4 linked regions of the Macaca fascicularis genome follow. The protein of the gene in region 4 interacts with the protein of the main gene of each other region in a pairwise test. Links are inferred from orthologs where the notes say so. Each region holds a gene or a part of one and is shown on either strand. Other genes may lie near its edges. The genes, in order: DVL2, TGOLN2, FXR2 and AP2M1.

Region 1 (7,461 bases), on a different chromosome or scaffold from region 4:
GTAGGGGCAAGAGAATTACTGACTTGAGGCTCGTGTCGTGGGACTAGAGAGTGGCTGTTGTTCACATAGAACTGTACTGCTTTATAGGAGGAAGCCCCTAGAAATATGTAAGACTAGAGGGAAGTTGGAGATTCTTAGGACTGTGGTAGGAAAGCTGGTATGCAGGGAGTGGATGGCAGGGCTAGCTAGCTTGAACAGCAGTGAAAAGCAAGGGGGTTCTGGAGTTGCTGGTCGAGATTTTGGCAGTCTTGAGGTGCTGTGAATAGAAGGTGTTTATGGATAAATTTTAGGGAGATGAAAATGGTAACAAATTAGGCTACACAGAAAAAGAGCTAAGGACATAAGGCTCTGGTCTGGGGGACACCGTGTTCCACAGGCCCTGGGCGGGGCAGCGGTGAGGTATCAAGACTCGAAGGTGGAGGTAACACGGAGTGGTCACGAGGACATGCTGATGGGAATTGGGGTGGGGAGAAGTTTTGGGAGTACAGTGGGATTTAGTGGTTGAGGTAGAGGACATTTTGGGGTAAATCTAGTCACTCCTTTTCAAGCTGGGTTTGTGGAGGGGCTGAGATGACACTGGGGTTCTGCTGACCCTGGTCTCTTTCCCCTTTTAAGGAAAGTGACTGGCCCGCCTCTGGCTCCAGCTCTCCATTGCGAGGAGAGAGTGCGGCCGACAGTGATGGCTGGGACTCGGCCCCCTCAGATCTTCGAACCATCCAGACTTTTGTTAAGAAAGCAAAGTCATCCAAGAGAAGGGCAGCCCAAGCAGGTCCCACCCAGCCAGGACCCCCAAGGTCCACTTTCTCTCGTCTGCAGGCCCCCGACAGTGCTACCTTGCTTGAGAAGATGAAGCTCAAGGACTCTCTCTTTGATCTCGATGGGCCCAAGGTGGCATCTCCTTTGTCCCCCACATCCCTGACACATACCTCCCGGCCCCCTGCTGCTCTTACCCCCGTGCCCCTTTCCCAGGGGGACCTCTCCCATCCTCCTCGAAAGAAGGACCGAAAGAACCGAAAGTTGGGGCCAGGAGCTGGGGCTGGCTTTGGGGTGCTTCGGAGGCCTCGGCCAACTCCTGGGGATGGGGAAAAGAGATCTCGAATCAAGAAGAGCAAGAAGCGGAAGTTAAAAAAGGCAGAACGGGGGGATAGACTCCCACCTCCTGGGCCTCCCCAGGCACCCCCCAGTGATACAGACTCTGAAGAGGAGGAGGAGGAAGAGGAAGAGGAAGAAGAGGAAGAGATGGCAACAGTGGTAGGGGGTGAAGCCCCAGCCCCTGTGCTCCCAACACCCCCCGAGGCTCCTAGGCCCCCTGCCACAGTGCACCCTGAAGGAGTCCCTCCTACTGACAGTGAAAGCAAGGAGGTGGGCAGCACTGAAACAAGCCAAGATGGAGATGCCAGCTCCAGTGAAGGCGAGATGCGGGTCATGGATGAGGACATCATGGTAGAATCAGGTGAGAGGTTTGGGCTGGGGCGAGGGGTTTGAGGGTGTTGTGGATCCAACAACTGCTCAGGCAGAATACCAAACAAACCTTTTTTCCCCAGGTGATGACTCATGGGATCTGATCACGTGTTACTGTCGAAAGCCCTTTGCAGGGCGGCCCATGATTGAGTGCAGCCTGTGTGGGACGTGGATCCACCTCTCCTGTGCTAAGATTAAGAAGACCAACGTCCCTGACTTCTTTTATTGCCAGAAATGCAAGGAACTGAGGCCAGAGGCCCGGCGGTTAGGGGGGCCTCCCAAATCTGGAGAGCCCTGACGGCACCAACTTTAGCCTGGAACTTCCAAATGATAACATGATTTGGGAACTGAGCCTCAGGGTCCTCAGCCTACCCCCTGGAGCTTGGATACTGTCCGCACTTCAAGGCAGGAATTCCCAAGGGAGACTTGTTTGAAAATGAGTGTCTCACTTGCCTACCCTATCCGTCCTCCCCACTCTGAACTTGAAATTGAACCCATTACGGTTGCGGGTGGGAGGCTGTCTGTGTCTCTAGACACATAATCTCTGTCTCTTGGACCTGCCACCATCACTTTCTGGGTCAGGATTGGAATTGGGATGGAATGGGACAGTTGTCTATAAAACTCTAGTGTAAATATTAGCACTCCCCTCCCTCATCTTTTCTTCTATTTCACTCCCCATTTATTTTCTTCTACACCGGTTGTATTTTTAATTTTGGACTTCCCCTACTGGGCATGGCAGCTCAAAGGTGGAGTACTAGAGCCTGGCCAAGCAAGGAAGGAAAGCAGAAAGGTGACGATTCTCACTCACCTCTTTTGTTTTTAATAATATTGGCCGCTGTTTGTACAGACAGCCTGCGTGTTGTAAATAAAGCAGAGTGGGCTCTTTTGTGTTTATAGCCCTCACTGTCCTGCTTGGGAGGGAGGCTTTGGTGGCTGAAGACTAGCTGGACGTGGTGCTGAAAGCCACCTCTCACAGTCCAGTCTGAAGATGGCACAGCACTGGGCCTCTCCCACCCCAAGATACTTGAGTAAGCCACCTCAGAGCTTTCATTGTATTTGGCCCTCCCCACTCGAGTCTAGGAACCCCCACAATCCCCACCTTCACTCCCTGCACGCACACTCCTGAGGGTCAGAGTTGCTTCGCGCTCCCGCCGGTGTGGGGTAAAGCCGGGTGGGAGCCGACTGTCCGCTTCCTGAGGGCACAGGCCAGCTTATCCTGGGTGCTCCGAGGACCTCGGCTGGGGTACACCTTTGGGGGCTGGGAGACCGTTGCCGAAGGCAGCGATCACGTGGCGGGGGCACTAGGAGGAGTCACGCGGTCACGTGACTGGGAGGGGTCACGTGACGGGGGCGGCTGAAGAGCGCGGGGTGGGCGGGCTTAGGTCACGTGACATGAGGAGAGGTGGGCGGGGACCTGGAGGACGCTCGCGTTGTCGGTGGCGGTGGCGCGCGGCGGCCGCTGAGACCGCGGCTTTGAGTCGCACCTCGCGGCCCGCCCCCCGCCGCCACCCTTGCCGACCCCTGCTTTTTTCCCTTTGCTTCTCTCCAGTACTGGGTCCGTCCTGTCCGCGCTCGCTCGTCGGTTTGCGGGTGTGCGCAGGCGCGGCAGGGGCCATTAGCCCCTTGGGTGGGCGGTGGAGCCCGGGAGCGCGCGGGCGAGACCATGGCGGGCAGCAGCGCTGGGGGCGGTGGGGTTGGGGAGACGAAGGTGATTTACCACCTGGATGAGGAAGAGACTCCATACCTGGTGAAGATCCCTGTCCCCGCCGAGCGCATCACCCTCGGCGATTTCAAGAGCGTCCTGCAGCGGCCCGCGGGCGCCAAGTACTTTTTCAAGTCTATGGATCAGGATTTCGGGTGAGCGCAAGGCCTAGATAGGACCGACGGGGGCTTTGCTAGAGTGGATTGGGCGACGTGGAGGGGCACACATCTACTTCGGGCCACACTAGGATTTTCTGGCCTGTGGTGGAGCAGATTGTACCATGCTGAGGTAGGTTGACTCTCCCAGGATGGACAAGGTTATGCTTGGATAGATTGAGGCACACGGGCAGACTAGGATATCCTAAACCAGATTAGAGACGATTAGGCTCTACTGGAATAGGTGGAGGCATACTGGTTTATTTTGGAGTGTTTTAGACTGTACTGAGTAAATTCATCTATCGTCTGGTCGTTTAGTACGTTCTCAGGAGTCCTGTAACGCCTGTAATCTCAGCACTTTGGGAGGCCGAGGCGGGCGGATCACGAAGTCAGGAGATCGAGACTATCCTGGCTAACACGGTGAAGCCCCATCTGTACTAACTAAAAATACAAAAAAATTAGCCGGGCGTGGTGGCGGGCGCCTGTAGTCCCAGCTACTTGGGAGGCTGAAGCAGGGAGAATCGCTTGAACCTGGGAGGCGGAGGTTGCAGTGAGCCGAGATCGCGCCACTGCACTCCAGCCTGGACGACAGTGCAAGACTCCATCTCCAAAAAAAAAAAAACACCAAAAAACAAAACAAAACAAACTTGGGCCATTATGGACTCTACTGGGCTGTATTGGTTAATCCTGGTTTATCTTGGGGCAAGACATGGTTTTATTGGAGCACTCAGTATGGGGGCAGACAAGGCTGTTGGTGCCCATGCTAGTACAGGTAGCTGTATTGGGGTATTCTAGTCTATATTGGTGCAGACAGCTGCGTGTGGGGACATTGTAGGCTGTGCTAGAATAGATTGGGCTATCCTAGGGTAATTTGGACATTCAGGGCTATCTTGGACTAGATTGGCATGTAAATAATGCAGAGAAAGCCCTTTTGTGTTTATGGTCTTTGGGGCTGAGCCCTCTCTGGGTCCTCAACCTCTGCTTTTTTTTTTTTTTTTTTTTTTTAAAGACAAGAGTCTCGCTCTGTCGCCCAGGCTGGAGTGCAGTGGCTGATTCTCGGTTCACTGCAAGCTCCGCCTCCCGGGTTCACGCCATTCTCCTGCCTCAGCCTCCCCACTAGCTGGGACTACAGGCACCCACCACCACACCTGGCTAATTTTTTGTATTTTTTAGTAGAGACGGAGTTTCACCGTGTTAGCCAGGATGGTCTCGATCTACTGACCTCATGATCGGACCGCCTCGGCCTCCCAAAGTGATGGGATTACAGGCGTGAGCCACTGCGCCCAGCCCAACCTCTGCTTTTTTGAAGGCAGGCTGGATTAAGTTGAGATAGCATGGGTTTTAGAAGAACTGAACAAACTGGACTCTAGCTAGAAAGATTGTTTGACATGGGAAGGGTGATACTATCTTGGGAGTTATCTTGGCTTTAAGTCAAGGTTCTTCTAGTTGTCAGCAGTGCAATCTTGGACAATTAATTTAAATTTTGTGTCTTGATCTCGTCTGTGACATGGAGAAAATCACAGAATGAAATGGTTAGTTCAGGTGTGTGGTACATGGTGAATTCTTGGTGAATGGTAATTGTCATTAGTATTGAGGCTGACTACTCTATAAAGGTTATGGTGATACACAGTAATTTGTCTTAAGAGTGGACTGAGCTATGCTGAGATTGTGTTATGTTGGGAAGAATCCTACATGATGCTGAGACAGATTGGTAGTGACTGGGCTGTGTTGTCACATTGACAGCAAATGGATTAAGTTGATATATATCCTGGCTCTTATGACCATATTAGGCTAATGGGTTAATTAGACAAGGTGTCCTAATTTGGCGGCAAGGGTGTGTGTGGAAAGAGAGAGAGAAACAACCAGGGCAGAGAGTCTGATGCTTTATATGTTTATTCATTTAGTTGACAGTATTTGTTAATGCCTAAGTGTCAGTGTGTGGTGTGTGGCCAGGACATGGTGTTGATCAGAGTAAGTGTTCATGGTTTGATGTCGTGGTCAAGAAGAAGGGGCAAGTCCAGTCCACCACAGGGAACCCATTGGAGAGATGACCCCAAGGCTGGGCTTTGGGATCTGTCAGGCTGAGCAGATTGCTTCGTGCCGAATTTTGTGCCAGATGAGGCACAGGGGAATGGGAGCGCCAGCTTGCTCTCTCCTTGGGAGCTTTCAGTCTAATGAGGAGCTTCCATTGTTTGTTTGATCTAATGGTGGGTGGTTTTGTTTTTTGTTGTTTTTTGTTTGTTTGAGGTGGAATCTCACTCTGTCGCCCAGGCTGGAGTGCAGTGGCGCAATCTCGGCTCACTGCAACCTCCGCCTCCTGAGTTCAAGCGATTCTCCTACTTCGGCTTCCGGAGTAGTTGGGATTATAGTGTGCACCACCGTGCCCGGCTCATTTTTGTATTTTTAGGAGAGACAGGGTTTCATCATGTTGGCCAGCTCCTGGCCTCAGGTAATCCACCCACTTTGGCCTCTCAAAGTGCTGGGATTACAGGTGTGAGCCACTATGCCTGGCCTCTAATGGGTGTTTTTACTCAAGAAAGGACAGTCTTCTGGAAATGAATTAGTGAAAACTAAAGGCAAGTATAAAAGTAGAGACTTGGTTGAGGACCGAAGCCTTTTTTTGGAAGGTTTTTTTTTTTTTTTTTTTTTTTTTTGAGACAGATTCTTGCTCAGCCGCCCAGGCTGGAGTGCAGTGGCACAGTCTTGGCTCACTGCAACCACTGTCTCCTGGGTTCAAGCAACTCTCCCGTCTCAGTCTCCTGAGTAGCTGGGATTATAGGCACCCACCATCATGCCTGGCTAATTTTTATATTTTAGTAGAGACGAGGTTTCACCATGTTGGCCAGGCTGGTCTTGAACTCCTGACCTCAGGTGATCCGCCCACCTCAGCCTCCCAAAGTTTTAGCATTACAGGCATGAGCCACCGTGCCCGGCCTTTTTGGAAGGTTTGTAAGGAACAGGGATGGGCTTGAGAGGAGGCTACCAGCCAGTCTCATTAGATAGGTATCTTAGGCAGCTGCATCAGCATAGGGGATTGCCTTTGAAATTGTACTGAGAGGTTTGAATCAGACTCAGTCAAGTCTTTGGAGCAGCACTACGCCCCTGAGGGTGCGTTAGGGAGAGGAGAAATAAGGAAAGGGGATTGAGTTTGGAGATTTCTTAGGTGTCAGAGTGAGTTTTTTCAATGTAAGAGAAGACCTGAACAGGGCGGGAGAAAGTCAGCATCCTGGAGCCCGGTGAAGATTGGGAGGAACTTTGATGGGGGTGGGGGTGGGGGTGGTTGGTCCAGCTCACTGACCTCCACCTTGTCTCTTGGCAGAGTGGTGAAGGAAGAAATTTCAGATGACAACGCCCGCCTCCCCTGCTTCAACGGAAGGGTGGTATCCTGGGTAAGAGGTGCAGACGCCGAGGGCTGGGTCCCCTCTGCATTTCCAAGCTTCCCCAGGCCTCAGTCCGTTTCTGTAGCCCTCTCCCAGGCCAGGTATTAGCAGCCCTGGCTCTTTACCTCTTATCTGTTTGGAGAGCCAGTGAGAGGCCCTCAGCCTTCTCCTTCTGGAGTCTCTAATACTTGCTAGGTTATTTTGCTCTTCTCCAGCTCTCTGAGACCCTTTTTCGTTCTTTCACTTACTGCAACCTGTCACACCCCGACTCCCAGCTGAGCGCCACTGTTTATTGTTTGCACCCTTCTAGCTGGTGTCCTCAGATAATCCCCAACCCGAGATGGCTCCTCCAGCCCACGAGCCTCGGGCAGAACTGGCGCCTCCAGCCCCACCTTTACCCCCTTTGCCACCCGAGAGGACCAGCGGCATTGGGGACTCAAGGCCTCCATCCTTTCAGTGAGTCCTTCTGATTCTTGACTTCGAGGGAGGGAGGTGAGGAGGGAACCCAGGCCTTTTGGTAGGGTACGCCTGGGATCCGGAACCCTGTTCTCCTGATATGGATTGGAAACCATCTCTGCCTGTCCAGCCCTAATGTGTCCAGCAGCCATGAGAATCTGGAGCCTGAGACAGAAACCGAGTCAGTAGTGTCACTGAGGCGGGAGCGGCCTCGCAGGAGAGACAGCAGTGAGCATGGCGGTGAGGGGCAGGCCTGGGGGCTGGGAAGGGCTGGGCCAGACCCCAGCCTTGGTGGGGTGAGCAGGGG
Region 2 (7,359 bases), on a different chromosome or scaffold from region 4:
CTGTGATGATTGCGTTAACTGTACAAACTGATTGTAAAACGTGTATATTTGAACAATATGAAATCTGATTGTAAAACATGGGTGTTTTAACAATATGAAATCAGTGCACCTTGAAAAAGAACAGAACAACAGCAATTTTCAGGAAACGAGGGAAGGCAACCATAAGGTCTGACTGTCTGTGGGGTTGGGCAGAATAGAGACATATTTTTCTTCTTGCAGAGAGCCTATAAACGGATGTGCAAGTAGGAGAGATATTGCTAAATTCTTCTCCTAGCAAGGAATATTAAATATTAAGACCCTAGGAAAAGAACTGCATTTCTGGAGGGAGGTCTATAAATGGCTGCTCTGGGAGTGTCTGTCTTATGCAGTTAAGATAAGGACTGAAATACGCCCTGGTCTCCTGCAGTACCCTCAGGCTTATTAGGGTAGGGAAAAAAATCCCACCCCGGTAAACTTGAGGTCAGACCTGTTCTCTGCTCTCGAACTCTGTTTTCTGTTAAGACGTTTATCAAGACAATATGTGCATAGCTGAATACAGAACCTTATCAGTAATTCTAATTTTGCCCTTTGCCTTGTGATTTTTGCTTTGCCCTTTGCCTTGTGATCTTTATTGCCCTTTGAGGCATGTGATCTTTGTGACCTACTCCCTGTTCATACACCCCCTCCCCTTCTGAAATCTCTAATAAAAACTTGCTGGTTTTGCAGCTCAGGGGGACATCACGGTCCTGCCAATATATGATGTTACCCCCAGAGGCCCTGCTGTAAAATTCCTCTCTTTGTATTCTTTCTCTTTATTTCTCAGACCAGCCGACACTTAGGAAAAATAGAAAGAACCTACGTTTAAATACTGGGAGTGGGGGTTCCCCCAATAGGGGTGGAAGGAGGGCTTATCTCTCTGACAGAGGAATCGATTGGCTGTACTCAGGAACTCCAGCCCACAGTGCTTAAGCCAGGCTGATGTAGGGAGTTAGAGGCCTATGTGCTTCTGGGCTTCTGTTTTCAGGGAGCGTAGTCTAGTGCTTTACCACATAAAGTGTGGATCCAGTGGCATTTGGTTTCACCTGAGAACTTCCACCATGCCTAGGCTGGGCATGGTGGTTCATGCCTGTAATCCCAGCACTTTGGGAGGTTGAGGCAGGTGGATCACCTGAGGTTGGGAGTTCAAGACCAGCCTGACCAACATGGAGAAACCCCATCTCTACCAAAAATACAAAATTAGCTGGGCATGGTGGTGGCACTTGTAATCCTAGCTACTTGGGAGGCTGAAGCAGGAGAATAGCTTGAACCCAGGAAGCAGAGGTTGCAGTGAGCCGAGATTGCACCACTGTACTCCAGCCTGGGCAACAAGAGCGAAACTCTGCCTCCAAAAAAAAAAAAGAATGTAGAAATATAGGCTCCACCCCACATCAAATGAATCAGACAATGCTTTTTATCAAAATTCCCCAAGGTGATTCAAATGCCTATTAAAGTTTATGGAGTGCTGGTAGAATGCAGAAAGCTCAAGACTGGGAGACCAGGGAGTTGCTATCAGGTCCTGATTTTGCCACTAACTTGCAGTAGAAACTTAGCGGAAAAAAAAAATGAATGTTTCTGTGCGGGCCTATTTCCTCATCTGTCAAGGGAGGGAGCTGCTGTAGAGTATTCGAAGGTCTCTTCTAGCTCTAACGTCAGAGATATGTGTATCTAGATGTTTCTAGTTTGTTGTCTAAAAAGGGCGAATGCAACAGCAACAGCACCCCCAGAATCGGCCACTGCTGCCATGGCAAACGCAAGCCCACTACTGGGTCCATCTAACGTTAACTATCCCTCCCGTGGACCTGGCTCCTCCTTCCTTACCTTCTGGTCCAAACGTTGGTAGTCACTGGCCTTTGGCCGCCGGGTGACTTTAGATCTTTTTCCTTCCAGGACAAAAGCAATGATCTGAGGAAAAGAAAAAGAAAATGATTAACAAGTAATGACATAGTTCAGTCTCTGAAATCAGAGGCAGTCACCTGGTAGCATATTTGTTAATGACCCTGACTGTAGAAAGAGCAGTACACTCACAGAGGTCTATTTAAACTTTAACCAGTTTAAGAAAGACAGAGCCTAATTACATCAGAATCTTTTGTATCGCTTAATAGGAAATAACAAATAGAAGGCTGTCTGAGTTCTAGCGTGTGGGAGGAAGTCTGTATGATTCATTCAAAGGTACACAAGTCAAAGATCTATCAACTCCTTCCTAGAGATATCTACAATAGGACATTCCTTTAAAAATAATCATAATCAGAATTTCCTATCTGCAAATGTACTCTTTCATCCCACGTTGCTACATCAACTATACTCTCTGTCACTCTCATTTCATGACCAAGGTTACCCTGCATAATGGACACCTGGACATAGAATAAGAAATGCACTTTTTTGGCTGGGTGTGGTGGCTCAAGCCTGTAATCCCAGCACTTTGGGAGGCCGAGACGGGCGGATCACAAGGTCAGGAGATGGAGACCATCCTGGCTGATAAGGTGAAACCCCGTCTCTACTAAAAAATACAAAAAAAACTAGCCAGGCATGGTGGCGGGCGCCTGTAGTCCCAGCTACTCGGGAGGCTGAGGCAGGAGAATGGCGTAAACCCGGGAGGCGGAGCTTGCAGTGAGCTGAGATCCGGCCACTGCACTCCAGCCTGGGTGACAGAGTGAGACTCCGTCTCAAAAAAAAAAAAAAAAGAAATGCACTTTTTTTTCTTTGAGGACAGGTCTCACTCTGTCACCCAGGCTGGAGTGCAGTGGCGTGACCATGGCTCACTGAAGCCTCGACCTCCCACAGTCAAGCCATCCTCCCACTTCAGCCTCCAGACTAGCTGGGCCCACACACGTCCACCACATCTGGCTAATTTTTTTTTTATTGTATGTAGAGACGAGGTCTCGCTTTGTTGGCCAGGCTGGTCTCGAACTCCTGGGCTCAAGCGATCCTCCCGCCTCAGCCTCCCAAAGTGCTGGGATTACAGGCATGAGCCACTGCACCCAGCCAGGAATGCACATTTTTACTAAAGGTCTTCCCCTCTATTCTTTCTAGCCACAGGCCTCATGGCCAGAAATGGACTCTCCAATTTTAAGCAGGTTACAGAAACTAGCTTCTAAATTTTGGGGGCTCAATATGAAATGCAATCATTTTGTCATTAGAGTGGTTGCTAATAAACAGACCAAACCCTGCTGAAAAAGTCACAGGTGTACATGTCTGTGCAATTTCTGGGCTTTCTTCTAATTATTATTAATTGCAGAAGTCCCTGGGCTCCTTGTTGCTGGTATTGAAGATGCAGTAATTGAAACTATTCTTTGTGCCACTGATGGAAGAGAGAATGTTGGGAAAGGAAACTAGAAATGATATGTCGTCTCAAGAATGGAAATAGTATGGAAGGTACGTGCTTTAACTGTCAAGTACTCAGGTCCTCTGAGGCTGTGAAGGGCCCAAGTGCAAAGTTATGGGAGGAGATTCCACCTCAGGTCAGATCCTAATAATGGCCTAACTTGGCTCCTAATGCAGTAGCAGAGGACACTCAAAGTAAATAGATGACAGGATGAAAACACGATTCACAAAACAAGAGTAAAAAGGCCTAATGGGGCCCGAGGAAAAAAACTGAAGTTTGTTTTAAAGTCCCCAGTGCTCACGGGCATCCAGTGATAGGATACCCACCCAAACCCAAGCTTCCAGGGTGCTGGAAACCCCACTCCCCTCCCGAAGGCCGCTCTAGACCTACCTTCCGCTTGTTGTGATGAGCGATATAGAGGACTGCCACAAGAATGGCTGCAGTCACCAGATATGCAAAGAAGTGGCTGCTCTCCGCGCTGGCATTTCCAGAACTCTCCCTATAATGGTCATCCTTCTCGCTACCCCTGGAATCCAAAAGTGTCCCTTCACGGTTTTCATTGGAGGCAGAACCGGACATCTTTTCTTTCTCTTCTTTGGGCGGTGAGCCCTCCTCGGGTCCTGTATCATCATCTTCAGCCTCTTTGGGCTCCACATCCTCAGTAGGCTCTGAAGACTTACCTTCCTCCTGCGGGGAAGAAATGAGGTCAGTGTCCTCCCCAGATTCGGTTTTGAAAGCATGAGGAGAAAGCTTCCCTTTGTCAGCTAACTGGTTTGTGTCAGCCTTGGGGAGCTCCTTGTTATCAGAAGGGTTGGAGACGGGCTTGGAATGGTCTTTCCTGGAAGGCTGCTCTGGAACCACCTTGCCAGGGCCGTCTTTTGGGGTCTGCTCCTCCGCATCTGACTTGCTAGACCCGTCTATTGGGCCCTGCTCCTCTGCACCGGACTTGTTAGCGGCGTCTTTGGGAGTCTGCTTCTCCGCACCTGACTTGTTAGGGACGTCTTTTGGGATCTGATCCTCCGCACCCGACTTGCTAGAGCCGTCGGCACCCGACTTATTAGGGACGTCTTTTGTGGTCGGCGCCTCCGCACCCGATTTGCTAGTGCTGTCTTTCGTGGTCTGCGCCTCCGAACCCGACTTGCTAGGGCTGTCTTTTTGGGTCTTTGCCTCCGCACCCGACTTGCTGGAGCTGTCTTTTGTGATCTGAGCCTCCGAACCTGACTTGCTAGAGCTGTCTTTTTGGGTCTTTGCCTCCGCACCCGACTTGTTGGGGTTGTCTTCTGGGGTCTGCGCCTCCGCACCCGACTTGCGAGGGCTGTCTTTTGAAGTCTGCGGCTCTGGATCCGAACTGCTAGGGCTGTCTACTGAAGTGTGCGGCTCCGGATCCGACTTGGTAGAGCCTCCAGGCCGTTGGCTCAAGGTGGGGTAAGTAGAGACGTTTTCTGTAGAAGGCCGAACTCCAGCTTCTTCTTTCTTGACACTTGCGGTGTCCGAGAGCGGCGCGGCTCCTAAAATAGAAAAACGACTTAGCACCAGAGAAGGGCAGGCCGGAAGAAGGAACTCCTCAGAGCTGGAAGATATTGGGAGCAGCGGGGAAACAGGGATTGGGGGGTGGGGCGGGAGATGATGGCGAGCGGAGAGGTGGGTCGGGCAGGGAAGAAGCGAGCCTAGAAGTTACCTGCCCAGGTGAGAATGGGGGATCTGGGGGCAAGAGTGGGATGCTGGATAGAGGGTCTTACCAGCCGCTGCGACGCTCAGGAGGACTAACGCAACCACGAACCTCATCCTGCTCGAATAGCGCTTCCGCCCTCTAACGCTCTCGCGAGATCCGCGCGCGGGGCCCCTCTCCAGTCCCGCCCCTGCTGCGCGCGTCTTTCCGTCTCCGGCTTCCGCCAAGACAAAGGGCGAGATTTGCGGGGGCCGCTGCTGCTGATGTCTACGCTCGCCTTCCGCTGCGGTGGTTACGGTCGCTGAGTGGAAGGTGAGCCTCTTCTTCCTGGTTTCTCGTCTCTACCACAGCCGCAACAGACTGGCCCTCCGTTTTTCGTCCTCTCCGCTGCGTACTTCCGAGACCTTACAGGCAGAGCTGGAGCTCCCTGGCCTCTCGCACTGGCCGCGGAAGTGAGGCCGCTAGGGGCAGGAGCCTCTTGGCCACCACCATCCTGTGCTTGCGTTTCTATGCTCTGCTTTTTTCGTGTTTCCCTCTTGGTAGTATACAAACATGCGGTGCTCTGGTCTCTCCCATGTGGGAACAAATCCATCCGATCACCTACAAAGCGTTGCCTTCGCATCCCGGCCCTCCTCCTTCCCGCCTCCACAGAGACGGTGTTCTCCGAGGTCGCCAAACATGTTTTCCAAAAAGTGCAGCCTTTTTCTGGTCGTAAAAGTACAGAAGCAGAAAACAAAACCTGACTGCCACCCTTCCGGGATAATCACTATTAATGTTTTAGTGTATTGTCTGCCCTCTAAACATTTAATGTTTTTTGAATAGATAATACGGTATAATGTTTCAGAAATGATAACCAGATTTTAAAGTAAATAGACCTTTCTTAGAAGAGTCTTCCTACTCCTCCACAGGTTACCGCTTACATTAGTTTATTATGTTTCCATTTAGTTTTGTAAAAAAAAAAAAAAAGGACACTTTCCCTTCTTAATTAGTGTATTTCTCTTTTCTTCTATGCAGATTTATTTTCTCCGCATATTGGGATAATCAGGTAAATGGTTTTGTATCCCACCGTTTACAGTTACTGTTATGTTTATACATTAAATGTTTGAAATCACTTTATGAACGATTGCCAGGCTTGGTGCTTAGGAGACAGTCATTTAAGAAATGATAGGTCTTAAATGAGATTACATCAAGTTAAAAAGCTTCTGCACAGCAAAGGAAACAGTGAAGAAACAACCTACATAATGGGAGAACTATTCGCAAGCTATCCATCCGACAAGGGATTAATAACTAGAATATATAAGAAACTCAAGGAAAAAAATGTAATTAAAAAATGGGCACCAGCCAGGGCAACATGATGAAACCCTGTGTCTACCAAAAATACAAAAAATTAGCTGGGCATGGTGGCCTGTGCATGTAATCCCAGCTACTCAGAAGGCTGAGGATGGGAGGATTATTTGAGCCTGGGAGGCGGAGATTGCAGTGAGTGAGCCAAAATCTTATCACTGCATTCCAGCCTAGGCAACCATCTCAAAAAAAGAAAAAAAAAAATGGGCAAAAGACCTGCTGAATAGACGTATCTCAAAAGATGACATACAAATGGCCAACATAGAAATGGTATGTGAAAAGATGCTCACTATCACTAATCATCAGGGAAATCCAAATCCAGACCACAATGAGAGATCATCTTAGCCCAGTTAGAATGGCTGTTATCAAAAGAAAAAAAAATACATAATGTTGACAAGGATGAGAAGAAAAGGGAATGCTCATATCCTGTTGGTGGGAATGTAGATTAGTACAGCCATTATGGAAAATAGTATTGGCAGGGCATGCAGGCTCACACCTGTAGTCCCAGCACCTTGGGAGGCTGAGGCAGGCAGATGACTTGAGCCCAGGAGTTCGAAATCAGCCTGGGCAATGTAGCAAGACTCTATCTCTATAAAAAAATGAAAACAGCACAGAGTTTCTCAGAAACTAAAAATAGAACTGCCATATGATCCAGTATTCCCACTGCTGGGTATGTATCCAAAAGAAAGGAAATAAGTATGTCAAAGAGATAGATACTCTTGTAATCCCAGCACTTTGGGAGGCTGAGGCGGGAGGATCGTGTGAGCCCAGAAGTTCCAGACCAGACTGGGCAACATGGCAAGACCCCATCTCTTTTTTTTTTTTTTTTTTTGAGACAGTCTTACTGTGTCACCCAGGCTTGAGTGCAGTGGCACGACTTCAGCTCACTGCAATCTCCATCTCCTGGGCTCTAGTGATCCCCCACCTCAGCCTTCCAAGTAGCTGAGACTAGTGGATCTCATGAAAGTAGAGGTGGCTACCAGAGGCTGGGAGGGGATGAGGAGAG
Region 3 (7,557 bases), on a different chromosome or scaffold from region 4:
GACGGGGTTTCACCATGGTCTCCATCTCCTGACCTTGTGATCCGCCCACCTCGGCCTCCCAAAGTGCTGGGATTACAGGCGTGAGCCACCACGCCCGGCCTATTTTTATTTTTAATTTTTATTTTTTCAGATAGAGTCTTGCTCTGTCACCCAAACTGGAGTGCAGTGGCACAATCTTGGCTCACTGCAACCTCTGCCTCCTGAGTTCAAGTGATTCTCCTGCCTCAGTCTCCTGAGTAGCTGGGACTACAAGCGCATGCCACCATTCCAGGCTAATTTTTGTATTTTTAGTAGAGATGGAATTTCAACAGACTGGTCTTGAACTCCTGACCTCAGGTGACCTCAGGTGATCCACCAGCCTCAGCCTCCCAAACTGCTGGGATTACAGGTATGAGCCCGGTGCCTGGCCATGGTTGCAATATTAATAATTATTATAAATATTAATAATTTTTCCAGTGTCTTTCTTCTGCCATCACACTATGAAGTAAGAGATTTCCGGCCGGGCGCGGTGGCTCACGCCTGTAATCCCTGCACTTTGGGAGGCTGAGGCGGGCGGATCACGAGGTCAGGAGATCGAGACCATCCTGGCTAACACGTTGAAACCCCGTCTCTACTAAAATACAAAAAATTAGCCGGGCGCGGTGGCGGGCGCCTGTAGTCCCAGCTACTCGGGAGGCTGAGGCAGGAGAATGGCGCGAATCCGGGAGGCGGAGCTTGCAGTGAGCAGAGATGGCGCCACTGCACTCCAGCCTGGGCGACAAAGTGAAGACTCCGCCTCAAAAAAAAAAAAAAAAAAAAAAAAGAAGTAAGAGATTTCCAGGTCTGTTTGTCCCCACCATTAAATACAAAAATTTAAAAATTAGCCAGATGTGGTGGCTAAGTTCAAAGGGCAAAAAAAAAAAAAAAAAAAAAAACTTAGTATAATCCATCACCTTATTTTCTAAACCTTTATCTCCTATGTTATGTCCTCCATGATTGGCATTACCATTTACTCTAATCCAAGAAGTGAATGGAACATAGGACAACTCCCAGAATGTGAATTTTTCCTGCTACTACCATTATTTCATTATAATTTTTCCTATTTTGAATTTCCCCGGAATTGTTTATTATTTATTATTATTATTATTTTTTTTTGAGACAGAATGTCACTCTTGTTGCCCAGACTGGAGTGCAATGGCACAATCTCGGCTCACTGCAACCTCTGCCTCCCGGGTTCAAGCAATTCTCCTGCCTCAGCCTCCGAGTAGCTGGGTTTACAGGCATGGGCCATCATGCCCAGCTAATTTTTGTATTTTTAGTAGAGACGGGGTTTCTCCATGTTGGTCAGGCTGGTCTCAAACTCCCAATCTTAGGTGATCTACCCGCCTCTGCCTCCCAAAGTGGTGGGATTACAGGTGTGAGCCACTGCACCCGGGCACTATTATTATTATTATTATTATTACTATTTGTCGTTGTTGTTGTTGAGATGGAGTCTCGCTCTGTCGCCCAGGCTGGAGTGCAGTGGCGCGATCTCCACTCACGCAACCTCCGCCTCCTGGGTTCACGCCATTCTCCTGCCTCAGCCTCCAGAGTAGCTGGGACTACAGGCGCTCGCCACCACGCCTGGCTTTTTTTTTTTTTTTGTATTTTTAGTTGAGATGGAGTTTCACCGTGTTAGCCAGGATGGTCTCGATCTCCTGACCTCGTGATCCGCCCGCGTCGGCCTCCCAAAGTGCTGGGATTACAGGCGTGAGCCATCGCACACTGCCATTATTATTATTTTTTAAGTTTCACTCATTGCCCAGGCTGGAGTGCAGTGGCGTGATACCCGCTCACTGCAACCTCCACCTTCCTAGGTTCAAGTGATTCTCCTGCCGCATCCTCCCGAGTAGCTGGGACTCCTCCCGAGTAGCTGGAACTACCACAGCTGATTTTTTGTATTTTAGTAGAGACGGGGTTTCACCATGTTGACCAGAATGGTCTCCATCTCCTGACCTCGTGATCCGCCCGCCAGTGATCTCGGCCTCCCAAAGCGCTGGGATTACAGGCGTGAGCCACCGCGCCCGGCCTAATTTTTGTAGTTTTAATAGAAACGGGGTTTCGCCCTGTTGAGGCTGGTCTCGAACTTGGGGGCTCAAGTGATCCACACGCCTGGGCCTCCTAAAGTGCTGGGATTACAGGAGTGAGCCACAGCGCCCCCGGCCGAAACTATTCTACTATTCTTAAAACTTTCTTTCGTTTCTTTCTTTTTTTTTTTGAGACGGAGGCTTGCTCTGTCGCCCAGGCTGGAGTGCAATGGCGCGATCTCGGCTCTCTGTAACTTCTACCTCCCAGGTTCAAGTGATTCTCCTGCCTCAGCCTCCCGAGTATCTGGGATTACAGGCGCGTGCTACCACGCCCGACTAATTTTTATGTTTTATTAGATGCGGGGGTGGGGTGGTTCACCATATTGGCCACGCTGGTCTCGAACTCCTGACCTCAGGTGATCCGAGGACCTCAGGTGATCCACCCGCCTTGGCCTCCCAGAGTGCTGGCATTACAGGCGTGAGCCACCGCGCCTGGCCAAAACTTTCATTGTATCACAATCTCTTCAAGGCAAGAGCTATGACTTAAATCTACTACAGCACAGTTACAGATTCTTAAAAGATAGGCGATGCATGCGCGCAGACAGTAAAGCTCAGCGCGTGCGCACCGAGCACCTTTTTCCTTGCGGCGACTTCTCTTCTTTTTTTTTTTGGAGCGTGCGCACCAAGAAAGACAAAGGTGGGGAAAGTGACCAAGCAGTCGTTCAGGCGCATGCCCATCCCTAACTTGTCCGAGCCCGGTGGGGCCAGCGGCGGCGGCGTGGGTGTGGCCTGAGCGCTGTGTGACTGTGCGGCCGCCGCCCAATCGGACTGAGCGAGCCCGGCCCCTCCCTCCCTCTGATTGGTTGGTTCTCAGGGTTGTGGGGCGCGGAAAGGAAGAGACGGGGCTGCTGGGCGGTGGGGCGGTGGAGAAAGAAGGCTAATTTTGTTCTGCGCAAGCGCGAGCAAGCGACCAGGAGGGGGCGTGAGAGAGTGAAAGGGAATGTGGAAGCCCCGATGCGCTGGCTAGCGCTAGCTGGGGCTCTAACCTTGACGCCTGCGCCGTGGCCCTCGGGGCCCCGCGCGCAGCGGGCGGGTGCCCGGTGCGCCTGCGCAGTAGGAGGCGGTGGCAGGGGGAGGTGGAGGCTGTGGAGCGGCAGCGGCAGCAGCGGGTCCCGGGACTGAGGCAGCAGCGGGGGCGGCGGCAGGCGGAAGCTGAGGTGACGAAGGCAGCGGCGGCGGCGGCCGTTTCCCTCACGGTGGCGGAGACCAAGGCGGCGGCGGCGGACGGGGAGCGGCCCGGCCCCGGCCCCCTGCTCGTTGGCTGTGGCAGGGCCGCCGTGGGGCCGGCCCGGCTCCCGCCCCCCGCGGCTCCCCCTCCGGCTCCTCCTCCGGGGAGACGCCGGGGGCCTGGCCCGGCCCGCACTCAGACTGCTGCTGCAGCCGCCGCCGGGGGAGTCGGAGGCGGTGGCGGCGCCATGGGCGGCCTGGCCTCTGGGGGGGATGTGGAGCCGGGACTGCCCGTCGAGGTGCGCGGCTCCAACGGGGCCTTCTACAAGGTGAGACGGCGCGCCGACTGGGGACGCCGGTCCTTAGCCCCCTCCCCCGGCCGGAGCAGGAACGCGTGGGGCGGGATCGAGCTTCTGGAGCTGAGTCCTGGCCCTTAGAATCTTAGACCCTTGCTCCCACCCGCAGCCTTCCCTGAGAGACCTCTTGGAGTGAACCTGTTCCTTTTATTTTTGAGCCCTTTAATGCACCTGCTTCTACCCCCATCTCAGGGAGAATGAACTTCAGGCCATTATTGTCCCTGGCTTGGCGCTCCCCGCTCCCCAGGAGAGACCCCTTTACCCAGCTTCTAATTGACTGTTTCCGTTGTCTGATGGAAGACATACCTTAGACCTTAATCACATCTTCCCCACGGTCCAGGCACATGGAGAATTGTCTTTCTTCTGCACGGTCCCCTTGGGAAGGCCCCCTCTGTCCCATATCGGATCCTTTCATCTTCCTCAGAGAGGCCTCTGCCTACTGACTCTGGAACACTCACCCCACTTTCAGCTTATATTCCGGTTCCCAAGCCAAGGAGAAATGGTCAGATCCATTTACGACGTTTGGCATCTTTGACCTCAGGAACCCTGGGTTGGATCAGTCAAGTTGCTTCTCAGCCAGCCATAAGGTGGCATCTTTCGCAAGTCTTTCACCCCACCACACCTTGATCTCAAGGCCCACTGGTCTACCATTCTACTCAGAATGGATTTGAGGTCTCACTTAGACCTCAGATACCTTCAGGTCATTCTTAGAGTTTCTTCGTCTTGAGGCATGTGAGCTTCATAGTCATGATCTCTAAAAGGATCTCTAAAAGGAAGCTCATGGGGTTCCCTTCTGTTTTTCTTAAGATTTCCACTTCTTGAAGACTCTTGGCCAACTATCCCAGTTCGGGAATCTGACAACCTTTTTTGGAAGAAGGGATCATCTTTCAAAGACCTTTCCTTATTTGACCTCCCCCTTTGCCCAGGATTTGGTTCCTTAGAACTCCTTATAATACCACCTTCCTTATCTGCTCTGAATCCATTTTCTAGGACATTTTTTTCCCATTTGGATTAAGCCAGAGAGAACCCTTTCTTGCCTCCCAAGAGTTTTTCTTCGACTGTTGCTATTCTGAACCTCTTTTGGATTTGATGCCTGGAATTGTCCCAGAGACTCTCCTGATTTCTGTCTCATTCTTTGATTTCACCTTGGGGAGCTGTAGAAGAGATACCTTCCCATGGCATTACTTGTTAAGAGTAGATCCCCCTTCCCCCTTTCCTTCTGTTCCCCTCAGGCCTTTCCCCCCCACAGTAGCCCTCTCTAGTTTCTCATGCCCTTGGAAGTGTCTTTCTTTGACTCCTTCCCTAAGTCATATTTTCTGTAACTGTAGAGGGTCTTGTAATTTCCCTTGGGTGGTTTCTGCCTCTACTTCAGTTGCTAAGTTCATTGTAGTCTTTTTTTTTTTTTTTGAGACGGAGTCTGGCTCTGTCACCCAGGCTGGAGTGCAGTGGCACGATCTGGGCTCACTGCAAGCTCCGCCTCCCAGGTTTACGCCATTGTCCTGTCTCAGCCTCCTGAGTAGCTGTGACTACAGGCACACACCACCACGCCCGGCTAGTTTTTTGTATTTTTAGTAGAGACGAGGTTTCACCGTGTTAGCCAGGATGGTCTTGATCTCCTGACCTTGTGATCCGCCCGCCTCAGCCTCCCAAAGTGCTGGGATTACAGGCGTGAGCCACCGCGCCATTGTAGTCATTTTTTACTTACTCTTCATACTTACCCATTTTTGCCTTACTTCCCTCATCAGATTTCTTTCTGTGCGGTGACTTTGGGTACCCATGTCTAACTTACTGTCTCAATTCAAGTTTTTGGCTTTTTCTCCTAATACTTCTGTATTCCTGTGTAATCCCCAGGGATCACCTAATTCCCTGTCTAGCTGAAGGAAGCTCCCTGCTGATCTCTTTTGTCATTTTCTGCATACTTGCCTAACTCTTGGGACTTTTTCTTCTAGCCTGCCTCCATAGCATTTCTGTTTTTTTTGGCAAAAGTCTCTAATTCCTTTCTGCTTTTGATAGAGCACATTTATCTCTCATATCCTTTTCCCCAAACTTGCACTACCTTTGTTGAAATACGCCTCCTAAAGTGGCCCTCCCTGTTTCCCTCGGTATCTTTTCCTTCATCTGGGTCCTTACCACCCCAAAATTCTGAGTTCCAAGAAAAGTCATTCTTAAGTTGAGTCCAAGATCAAGATATGATGTTTGCTTTGTTCTAGGAAGCACAGGAGCCCTGCACAGCTGGGAAAGATTGGTATCCAGTTCAAATGAACTGTATGAGATGGCTGGGAAGGGACACGTTTTCTGTTCTACATATAAGTGTCCAGCAGAAAGTCTCTCTGAATCTTTTCCCTTTCTCCTGTGCGCTGTGGGCAATGATAGACTTGAGTACATGGGGACCAGGATACTCTGATTCAGAGAGTAGAGTCTGGGGTTGAGCTGAAAGCCAGGTAATGTGGTAATGTGGATCTGGGCAGGTTAGCATTTTCTGCCCCGTTCCTGAGTTAAAAACCACAAATCCCTAAATTCAGGCTAATCTTCCACTCTCAGTACCCTATAGATACTTATCCGTTTTGACCTTGCTGCTGATTTAATATTCATGACTCAGCAAACTTGGGATGGGTCAGGGAGTATTTACACTGCTTCTGGAAATGTACATTGGGAAGGTCCCTTTCTCCTCTCTCAGAATTGGGCCCTGTTGTCAGTTTTCTTTTCTTTCTCTTCTTTTTTTTTTTTTTAAATTTGAGACAGGGTCTCCTTTTGTCATCCAGGCTGGAGTACAGTGGCATGATGTCATCTCACTGCAGCCTCCGCCTCCCGGGTTCAAGCGATTCTCCTGCCTCAGCCTCCAGAGTAGCTGGGATTACAGGTGTGCAACACCATGCCTGGCTAATTTTTGTATTTTCAGTAGAGACGGGGTTTTGCCATGTTGGTCAGGCTGATTTCTGACTCCTGACCTCAAGTGATTAGCCCGCCTTGGCCTCCCAAGTGCTGGGATTACAGGTGTGAACCACCATGCCCTCCCATCAGTTAGTTTTCTTAAAGGATAAAATGTTAGATCTGGGATCTAAGTTATTTTGTAGCTATCCCAACATTAAGTTTGTCAGAACTTACTCTTTTTTTCTGTTTTTTTTTTTTTCATGTTAGACTGGCATCTGTAACAAGGTTTGAGGGAGGCCCACATCACACGTGAGCTTGAAACCTCAGTCATCATGCTTAAGACGTACTCAATGATCTAATGTATTTTATTCTTTAAGTTGTACTCTCCCAAATGAAGTATTCACCTTCCAGGGTGCAATCATCCTACTCCGAACCTCACCTGGATATCCTAATCCCCATTCCTTTCTTAATCAACGTGGCATCCTCAGCTTCAGTACTTGGTTTTTACTCAGACTGTTCCTGCTCTTCTCCTAGAACCCCCTCCTTTGCTTTGGGAGTCTAGAACTAGACAACAGTCAAAGTGGGGACCCATTTTATATCTTCTAATTTGAGGAAACCAAAGTACCTAGGAACCTGGGGCTCGCTCTTGCTCTGTTGGCTTGGTGCCAGGCTCCAGAAGCCAAAGCCAGGTGATGCTATGGCCACTGAATCTAGTCATCCTCTGGATCTAGGTGGCTCCCTAACACATTCCACCCACCTGTTTTTGCCTTCCCCTGCTTATTTTCACAATGAGCATAGACTGAGCAGAACTTGGGGCTCACTTTCCACCACTGATACCCTTGGAGAACAAAACTGGTATGGGATGAATGGGTGGAATTTAGGAGCAGAGACAGGATTGGAATATGAAGTTGGGGACAGAGCTAGTTTTGGAGACTTAATTGAAGGAAAGAGGCTCTGGAAGTATAAGGTTGAGTGAGATTTGGTTGAACTACCGAGTGATGTGAGAGATTACTCCATTCTGAGCTTTGCATTTCTGCCTTGGAAGTCATGGTAGCTGG
Region 4 (6,798 bases):
TCAAGCAGTCTAAATTAATTTGACCCAAATAATTTGGATAATTCAGGCATCCTGAAATCCCTGCTTCTTGTTTATAGGCACCCAGGCCAGAAATGAGTTACTTGATGGGCCTGGAATCACGATTTCAGATGGAAGGATTTCTTAATTTTATGTGCCTGCACTACCCCCACCCCCCCAGTCCTTACTTTTATTGCATTCCAGAGCTTTTTGAAAGGGGGGTGGTAGTCAGAAATAACTGTAATAAGCAGCTTAGGTGATGGAGGTGTAGTCTGCCAGCACTAGGACCTTCCTCCTTTGCCCTTTGCCTGCTTATTCCACTGCCTGGAAGAGGTTAAGCCACACTCCCGGGTCCACATTAGGGCCTAAGGGCTCCCTTCTCTTCTCCTCACACCCTTTCTTGGAATGTTTGAATTCTGTGAATTAGAGTGCCGGAAGTTCAGGCCCTGCGACCTTCTCTGAAGGGTAGTGGAGCCCGAGAGACTGGATGCTCTAAAGGTTATGCCTGGGGGCCCCAGGCCTGAACCAACTGGAGTAATTCCTACCGCCATTCCTGCAGCCGCAGGCAGGCAGGCCTTAGTGACTCACTGGCCGGAGCCTGAGAGTCTGCACAGGAGGAGGCCGAAAAGGATCATTCCTGAGCTCAGTGCTGGAGAGAGGGGGCGGGGTTGCTGATGCTCAGCCCCAGGAAACGGAGGGTCAAAATGGCCTTAGAGTCCTGAGCCTAATCTCTCTCAGTTTCTTTCTCCCATCCAGTGTGGAATAAACAGGAACTGGAGCCTAGCTGAGGGGAGGGGCATGTCTGGGAGGGCTGCAGGGTCACTTGCTAAAGGGTTGAGTCAGGAAAAAAGCTCCAGTGATCTGCACAGCTCCACAGGGGATGTTGGCAGGGATTCTGAGGTCTTCTTTTACCCCGCCCCCGCCTGTCCTAGGTCTGTTCTCAGAGCAATGGGCCGCGGAGACTGATCTGCCGCCATGATTGGAGGCTTATTCATCTATAATCACAAGGGGGAGGTGCTCATCTCTCGAGTCTACCGAGATGACATCGGGTGAGTCCTCTGGCAGAGCCAGCTGTGCCCCACCACTCCAGCCCCCGAGCCCCAGCATGCAGGATTAGGTCTCTTCTCACCAGAGGCTTGACTTGGACCACCCTGACCCCTGGCTGCACCCTGGAAGCTCAGCTAGTGTAGCCTGGCTCCCATTAGGTCTGGTGGTATTCACCCGGCAGCCAGCCTGCTGGCCCCTAGGTGGGACCCGTGGAATGGCATGGTCCCACAGCTTTAGGAACGCCTGCCCTTCCTGCATCCTGTTTCTCTATACAGGCCTGGTTGCTGGAGATGAGTGCCTTTGCCCAGGCTGGTGAATTTCTTCTTTGAGGAGAAGGAGAAATATCTCTAGTGGGTGGGGTTAGTGGCCAGGCTGGAGACACTAATCCATCTAAGCCTTGCTCTGAGAAGCCCTTCTCATATCAAGCGCCTTCACTGGATTCTATTGAAAGCCTCTCCAGGCTACCCAATCCTCTCCTGCTCCCTTTCTCAGGAGTCAGGCTGCTGACTCAGCTGTCTTCAGTTCCTCTGGGCCATTCCTGGGGGAGAGGCTGGGAGGGAGCGTGAGGCACTCTCTGGGTCACTAAGAAAGGGCAGGGAGGCCATGCTACCCTCTCTGGTTTATCAGAGTAGACCCAGAGCGGCTCCATATCCTGGGCCTTCACACAGAGCCACAGCCTGCCTTCTCATTCTGCACCCCCTTGCACACGCTGGACCTATCCTAGCCTCCGAGGCGCTAATGAGATTAGGCTCCTCTGGTTCCTGCTGCCTGTTTTTCTTCCTCAGAGAGCTTGAGATAAAGTCACAGAATGGGCCTGTGGCAGTGCTCCTCATTTGGCTCCCTGGCTGATGGGCTGGCCTGGCCCTTGCGGGTGTTTGTCCATTGGCTGGTGGTGTGGCATGAGTTAGAGCTGCAGCTGTGGCAAGGTCTGGCCTGCCTGAATCTGGCTGGCTACACCCCCCACCCCCACCCCCGGCCCCCCTCCTGCGTTGGATGGACTAGGCAAGCCAAGGCTGGGTCACACGCCACCTTGCCTGTCTTGTCTGCTTCCACCTCACGGTGTGTGCTGCCCTCCCGGTGTGTTGTGTGTCTAACCCTCTCTCTCGTTGCTGTCACTCTCCTCTTCTTGCTGGCGTCATTTCTCTCATCCCATCTCATTGACTGCCGTAGCAATAGGTAAGCGGCCTCTCAAGCTGCTGCCCAGGTACAGGTGGGTGGGGGCCCTGCCCCCATCATTGTTTTCCTGCATCCTTTTTCATTCCCTGAACTTGCTCTGGAGTTGGATCCTGGGCAAGAATGGGTAGCACAGTTCCATGGCCCCTTGGTACTTCCTCCTTTGTGACTTCTGAAGCCATGCTGGCTTTGTATAACATCTGGAGGAGTCGGCCCTCCCCACTGGTGGGATCACTAGTGGGAGGACTGGAGAAGCAGTGTCTCTTTCTGTCCTGGACCTGGGAGCTTACAGGGAAGCTAGATAAAGCTGGGAAATTAGGGCCAGCCCTGGGAGTCAAGAATATCTGTCTCTAAACCTGATGAACCTCACTTTATTAAGGTTACATCGGCCTTAATAGTTGACTTCCCTATTTCTTGTGGCCTTTAGACACTAGCCCAGCTCAGGCACTCTTCCCATGCCTCCACAGGGAGTCATAAGAAGGGAACCACCCCAGTGGTTTAGGCATTGGCTTTCTTTAGATTGTGTGTGTCAGACTTCTGCAGAAAGGTGGGTGGAGCTGTTAACAGCTGTGGTTGATCCTTGTGGGGTAAGGTTCGCCTGGGTGCTGAGCAGGCCCTGTGCACCCTTTCCCCTCAGGAGGAACGCAGTGGATGCCTTTCGGGTCAATGTTATCCATGCCCGGCAGCAGGTGCGCAGCCCCGTCACCAACATTGCTCGCACCAGCTTCTTCCACGTTAAGCGGTCCAACATTTGGCTGGCAGCAGTCACCAAGCAGAATGTCAACGCTGCCATGGTCTTCGAATTCCTCTATAAGATGTGTGACGTGATGGCTGCCTACTTTGGCAAGATCAGCGAGGAAAACATCAAGAACAATTTTGTACTCATATATGAGCTGCTGGATGGTGAGGCTGGTGGGCTGGCAGGGCAGGGGGCCTAGGGTGGGAAAGAACCAGGCTGGGCCTGGCCTGAAAGTGGGTGTAGGTCCGAGGCTCTGGTACACTCTGAACTTTCTTTCCTGAGTATCTGGGCTCTTGGACTAGGATCTCTATGCCCCTCAGAAGGCCAGTTCACATCCAAACCTAAAGGCTGGTCTGAAGTAGAACACAGAAATAGGCCAGCAGGTGTGGAGGGGAAGTTTTGGTCTTCCACGGGGCTAGGAACCTGACTCAGGTTTGGTGGTGAGCCTCCTGTATTCATCCTCTTTCCTTTGTGGCTTGGACCTTACTTCACTGACTGTCCACCCAGTTTTCCATCTCAGCAGCTGCTTCAGAGCCTGGGGGAGACTGAGATACTACAAGCCTCTGGGGGTGCACTGTTACCTCTGTTTCTCTGTAGAGTGTGATCTAAGGGAAGGTGAATCCTTCCACCTTCCCATTGTCTATTTTCTGGAGAAAACAGCTCAAAGCTTCTTGATTTGCCACCCACTGGCCATGTGACTCTTCTATTGATTTCTTTTTTTTTTTTTTTTTTTTTTGAGACAGGGTCTTACTGTTGTCGCCTATGCTGAGTGCAGTGGTGTAATCGCAGCTCACTGAAGCCTTGACCTCCCAGGCTCAAGCAATCCTCCAGCCTTAGCCTCCTGAGTAGCTGGGACCACAGGCACATGCCACCATGCTTGGCTCATTTTTACTATTTTTTGTAGAGCTGGGTCTCGCTATGTTGCCCAGGCTGGTCTTGAACTCCTGGGCTGAAGTGATTCTCCCACCTTGGCCTCCCAAAGTGTTGGGATTATAGGCATAAGCCACTGCGCCTGGCCTTGATTTCTCTATTTGAAAAAATCAAACATTTGAATTGTTTTCCTGTAAAGCACAAATCACAGAATAAATGCTACAAAGCTAGAAGACTTTGTTGCAGATGATCCCACATGGTCTTTGGGAGCTGTGCCAGTCAGACATGTGTAGGCCCAAGTAGGGACTGGAATGAGAAGGTTTGTTCAGGGGCTGATGGTTCCCTTCTTTTTCAGAGATTCTAGACTTTGGCTATCCACAGAATTCCGAGACAGGCGCGCTGAAAACCTTCATCACGCAGCAGGGCATCAAGAGTCAGGTACTTGAATTGTGCAGACTATAGTCAGGGTGCAGGCCAATCTCCCTTCATCTCAGCTGGCCCCTGAGCCTTGTCTGAGCTGACTCATAAGCCCTCCCATAACAGGAAGTGCTGGCCTGAGCCTCCTGCCATGATTGCAGGCCTATTTTGCTCTATGTGGTCCTCCCACTGCAGGAGCAGCCAATTCAGCATCTCTGTTACCAGGAATACAGCTCAAGCAGTTTCCTTTTGCACTGAGGGTTGGGGGAGGAGGCCTGGTCTTGAGGCCTGGTGTTCCTCAGGAGGAGAGAGCTTGGGCCCTCTCCTATAGGATCCAAGCCTCATAGCTTTCTCCTCCTTTTCTGCCTCCCTTGCTACTTCATGTGGGCACCTCGTTGGCCCTGCGGCCTCCAGCATCAGGTAAGCCCTTCCCTTAGCTTCCGCCCTTGCAGCTTTGCTTTGTTTCTCCAGGCCCTGCCCTTTGGGGCTTATAGGGGAAAATGGATTACAGGTGGGGACTAGAAGGGATGGGGAATGAGGGTGGAGTGGGGATAGAGACAGGATGATTAAAGGGAGAGGGGAGTGAGGCTCTTGCTGTTTGTTTCTGCTCCCATGTAGACAAAAGAAGAGCAGTCACAGATCACCAGCCAGGTGACTGGGCAGATTGGCTGGCGGCGAGAGGGTATCAAGTATCGCCGGAATGAGCTCTTCCTGGATGTGCTGGAGAGTGTGAACCTGCTCATGTCCCCACAAGGTGAGGTCCCTCTCACAACAAAGCTGGAGGGGGACCAGGGCAGGATCCTGGGTCTGCCTGCCTGACTCTGCTGCTCCCCATTTATCTGTTCCATCATCAGGGCAGGTGCTGAGTGCCCATGTGTCGGGCCGGGTGGTGATGAAGAGCTACCTGAGTGGCATGCCTGAATGCAAGTTTGGGATGAATGACAAGATTGTTATTGAAAAGCAGGGCAAAGGCACAGCTGATGAAACAAGCAAGAGGTGCCTGAGGCAGGAGAGCTGGTGGGAAAGGGTGTCCCTTGGAGGGCTCGGTGGGGTCTAGTGAACCACAAGTTTCTTCTGGATTTCATTCCCACTGTAATTGCAAACTCTGTTCCTGACGGTAAGCCTGGCTGTTCGCTCTTGACATTGGTGCTAAGAGAGATGAGGGGACTGTCCTCAGAGCAAGCCCCTTTTTTTGGTCCCTAGGACCAAGGCCTCTTCTGTACATACTGATAGCCTCCTCTGCCCAGTGTGCCTGAAACACCCAGGTCCCAAGCAGCAGGGCCCCCAAGAGATGAGTTTACAAGGTTTCCCTCTCATCCCAAGCTCTGGGGCAGACCTCTGAGTCAGAAAGCTGCATTCTAGCAGCTTTTCATAGTCTCTGGTGCCAGCCTGGGGTGGAGTGGTCTCCCAGCGTGACACCTGTCATTCTCCTGTACCAATGAGACCTCCTCTTCTGCCCCTGCTTGCAGTGGGAAGCAATCAATTGCCATTGATGACTGCACCTTCCACCAGTGTGTACGACTCAGCAAGTTTGACTCTGAACGCAGCATCAGCTTTATCCCACCAGATGGAGAGTTTGAGCTTATGAGGTGCCATTGGGGTGTGAAGAGGCAGCCAGTGCTGCTGGCAGATTGGGGAGAGGAAGTGGGTCAGCTCTTTGGTAACCTTGCTTCCCATCCCTTAAGGTATCGCACAACCAAGGACATCATCCTTCCCTTCCGGGTGATCCCGCTAGTGCGAGAAGTGGGACGCACCAAACTGGAGGTCAAGGTGGTCATCAAGTCCAACTTTAAACCCTCACTCCTGGCTCAGAAGATTGAGGTGAGGACAGGGGGCTTGGGGAGGAGGAAGAACTTGTCCCTAGGAATAAAGGCAGCTGATGTCACAGCTTGACAGAGCTCCCTGACAGGTGTGTCACTTCTAGGTGAGGATCCCAACCCCACTGAACACAAGTGGGGTGCAGGTGATCTGCATGAAGGGGAAGGCCAAGTACAAGGCCAGCGAGAATGCCATCGTGTGGAAGTGAGTCTTTCCTTCATTAGGCCACAGCAGGTTCAAGATCCCAGTGTACCCTCTTGTTTTCACCTTTGATCCTTCTGAATGAGGGGTGGGGGAGTGTGCCTCTTTGCTTTTCTAGGAGCCTCTGCTTGTACTGTCAGCCTTTATGCCTCCATGTGAGTATGTACACGCCTGCATTTGGGTTCATGCACGTGCTTATTTTTTAAGATGCTTTGGCATTTCCCTGCTTGCCTTTGTAATGTATCTGTGAAGCTGACAAAGCAAAGATAGCATGCCCAAGTGTCTAGGCAGAAACTGCATCCTGTTGTCCTAAAGAAGTAGACCCAAGCTTCCATAGCAAGTAGTTAGCAGGGTCCTGACCACTTCTTGTTGTGGCACCTCCTGCAAGCTCCTGGGCGTGCTCCTTAAAATGGGCAACTGCCCTTGAAACTTCTCCAAGCTACAATGGGCTGCCTGTTGTCCCTGTGTTCCTAGGATCAAGCGCATGGCAGGCATGAAGGAATCGCAGATCAGCGCAGAGATTGAGCTTCTGCCTA

The links.
Region 1: the proteins of AP2M1 (region 4) and DVL2 interact in a two-hybrid assay, tested with the Homo sapiens proteins (2 studies listed by BioGRID and IntAct). The two-hybrid records come from large-scale screens. The link is inferred for Macaca fascicularis from reciprocal best matches to the Homo sapiens genes AP2M1 and DVL2.
Region 2: the proteins of AP2M1 (region 4) and TGOLN2 interact in a two-hybrid assay, tested with the Homo sapiens proteins (2 studies listed by BioGRID). The link is inferred for Macaca fascicularis from reciprocal best matches to the Homo sapiens genes AP2M1 and TGOLN2.
Region 3: the proteins of AP2M1 (region 4) and FXR2 interact in binary tests that used the Homo sapiens proteins (3 or more experiments, as listed by UniProt). The link is inferred for Macaca fascicularis from reciprocal best matches to the Homo sapiens genes AP2M1 and FXR2.

What each region holds. Positions count from the first base shown.
Region 1 is NC_088390.1:7,279,290-7,286,750, reverse strand, and holds the start of DVL2 (segment polarity protein dishevelled homolog DVL-2), read left to right. Parts: upstream 1-2,869; 5' UTR 2,870-3,124; coding exon 3,125-3,318; intron 3,319-6,637; coding exon 6,638-6,707; intron 6,708-7,008; coding exon 7,009-7,154; intron 7,155-7,284; coding exon 7,285-7,394; intron 7,395-7,461. Other genes in the region: PHF23 (PHD finger protein 23), read left to right, coding at 616-1,453, 1,545-1,759.
Region 2 is NC_088387.1:36,263,183-36,270,541, reverse strand, and holds the start of TGOLN2 (trans-Golgi network integral membrane protein 2), read right to left. Parts: upstream 5,153-7,359; 5' UTR 5,126-5,152; coding exon 5,080-5,125; intron 4,849-5,079; coding exon 3,731-4,848; intron 1,921-3,730; coding exon 1,837-1,920; coding exon of another isoform or gene 1,801-1,836; exon of another isoform or gene 1,698-1,800; intron 1-1,697. UniProt on the Homo sapiens protein: May be involved in regulating membrane traffic to and from trans-Golgi network.
Region 3 is NC_088390.1:7,662,812-7,670,368, reverse strand, and holds the start of FXR2 (RNA-binding protein FXR2), read left to right. Parts: upstream 1-3,155; 5' UTR 3,156-3,520; coding exon 3,521-3,601; intron 3,602-6,760; exon of another isoform or gene 6,761-6,854; intron 6,855-7,557. UniProt on the Homo sapiens protein: mRNA-binding protein that acts as a regulator of mRNAs translation and/or stability, and which is required for adult hippocampal neurogenesis. Specifically binds to AU-rich elements (AREs) in the 3'-UTR of target mRNAs.
Region 4 is NC_088376.1:96,095,278-96,102,075, forward strand, and holds part of AP2M1 (AP-2 complex subunit mu), read left to right. Parts: intron 1-929; 5' UTR 930-972; coding exon 973-1,046; intron 1,047-2,854; coding exon 2,855-3,120; intron 3,121-4,181; coding exon 4,182-4,264; exon of another isoform or gene 4,265-4,624; coding exon of another isoform or gene 4,625-4,663; intron 4,664-4,861; coding exon 4,862-4,997; intron 4,998-5,097; coding exon 5,098-5,239; intron 5,240-5,712; coding exon 5,713-5,832; intron 5,833-5,928; coding exon 5,929-6,064; intron 6,065-6,167; coding exon 6,168-6,265; intron 6,266-6,736; coding exon 6,737-6,798.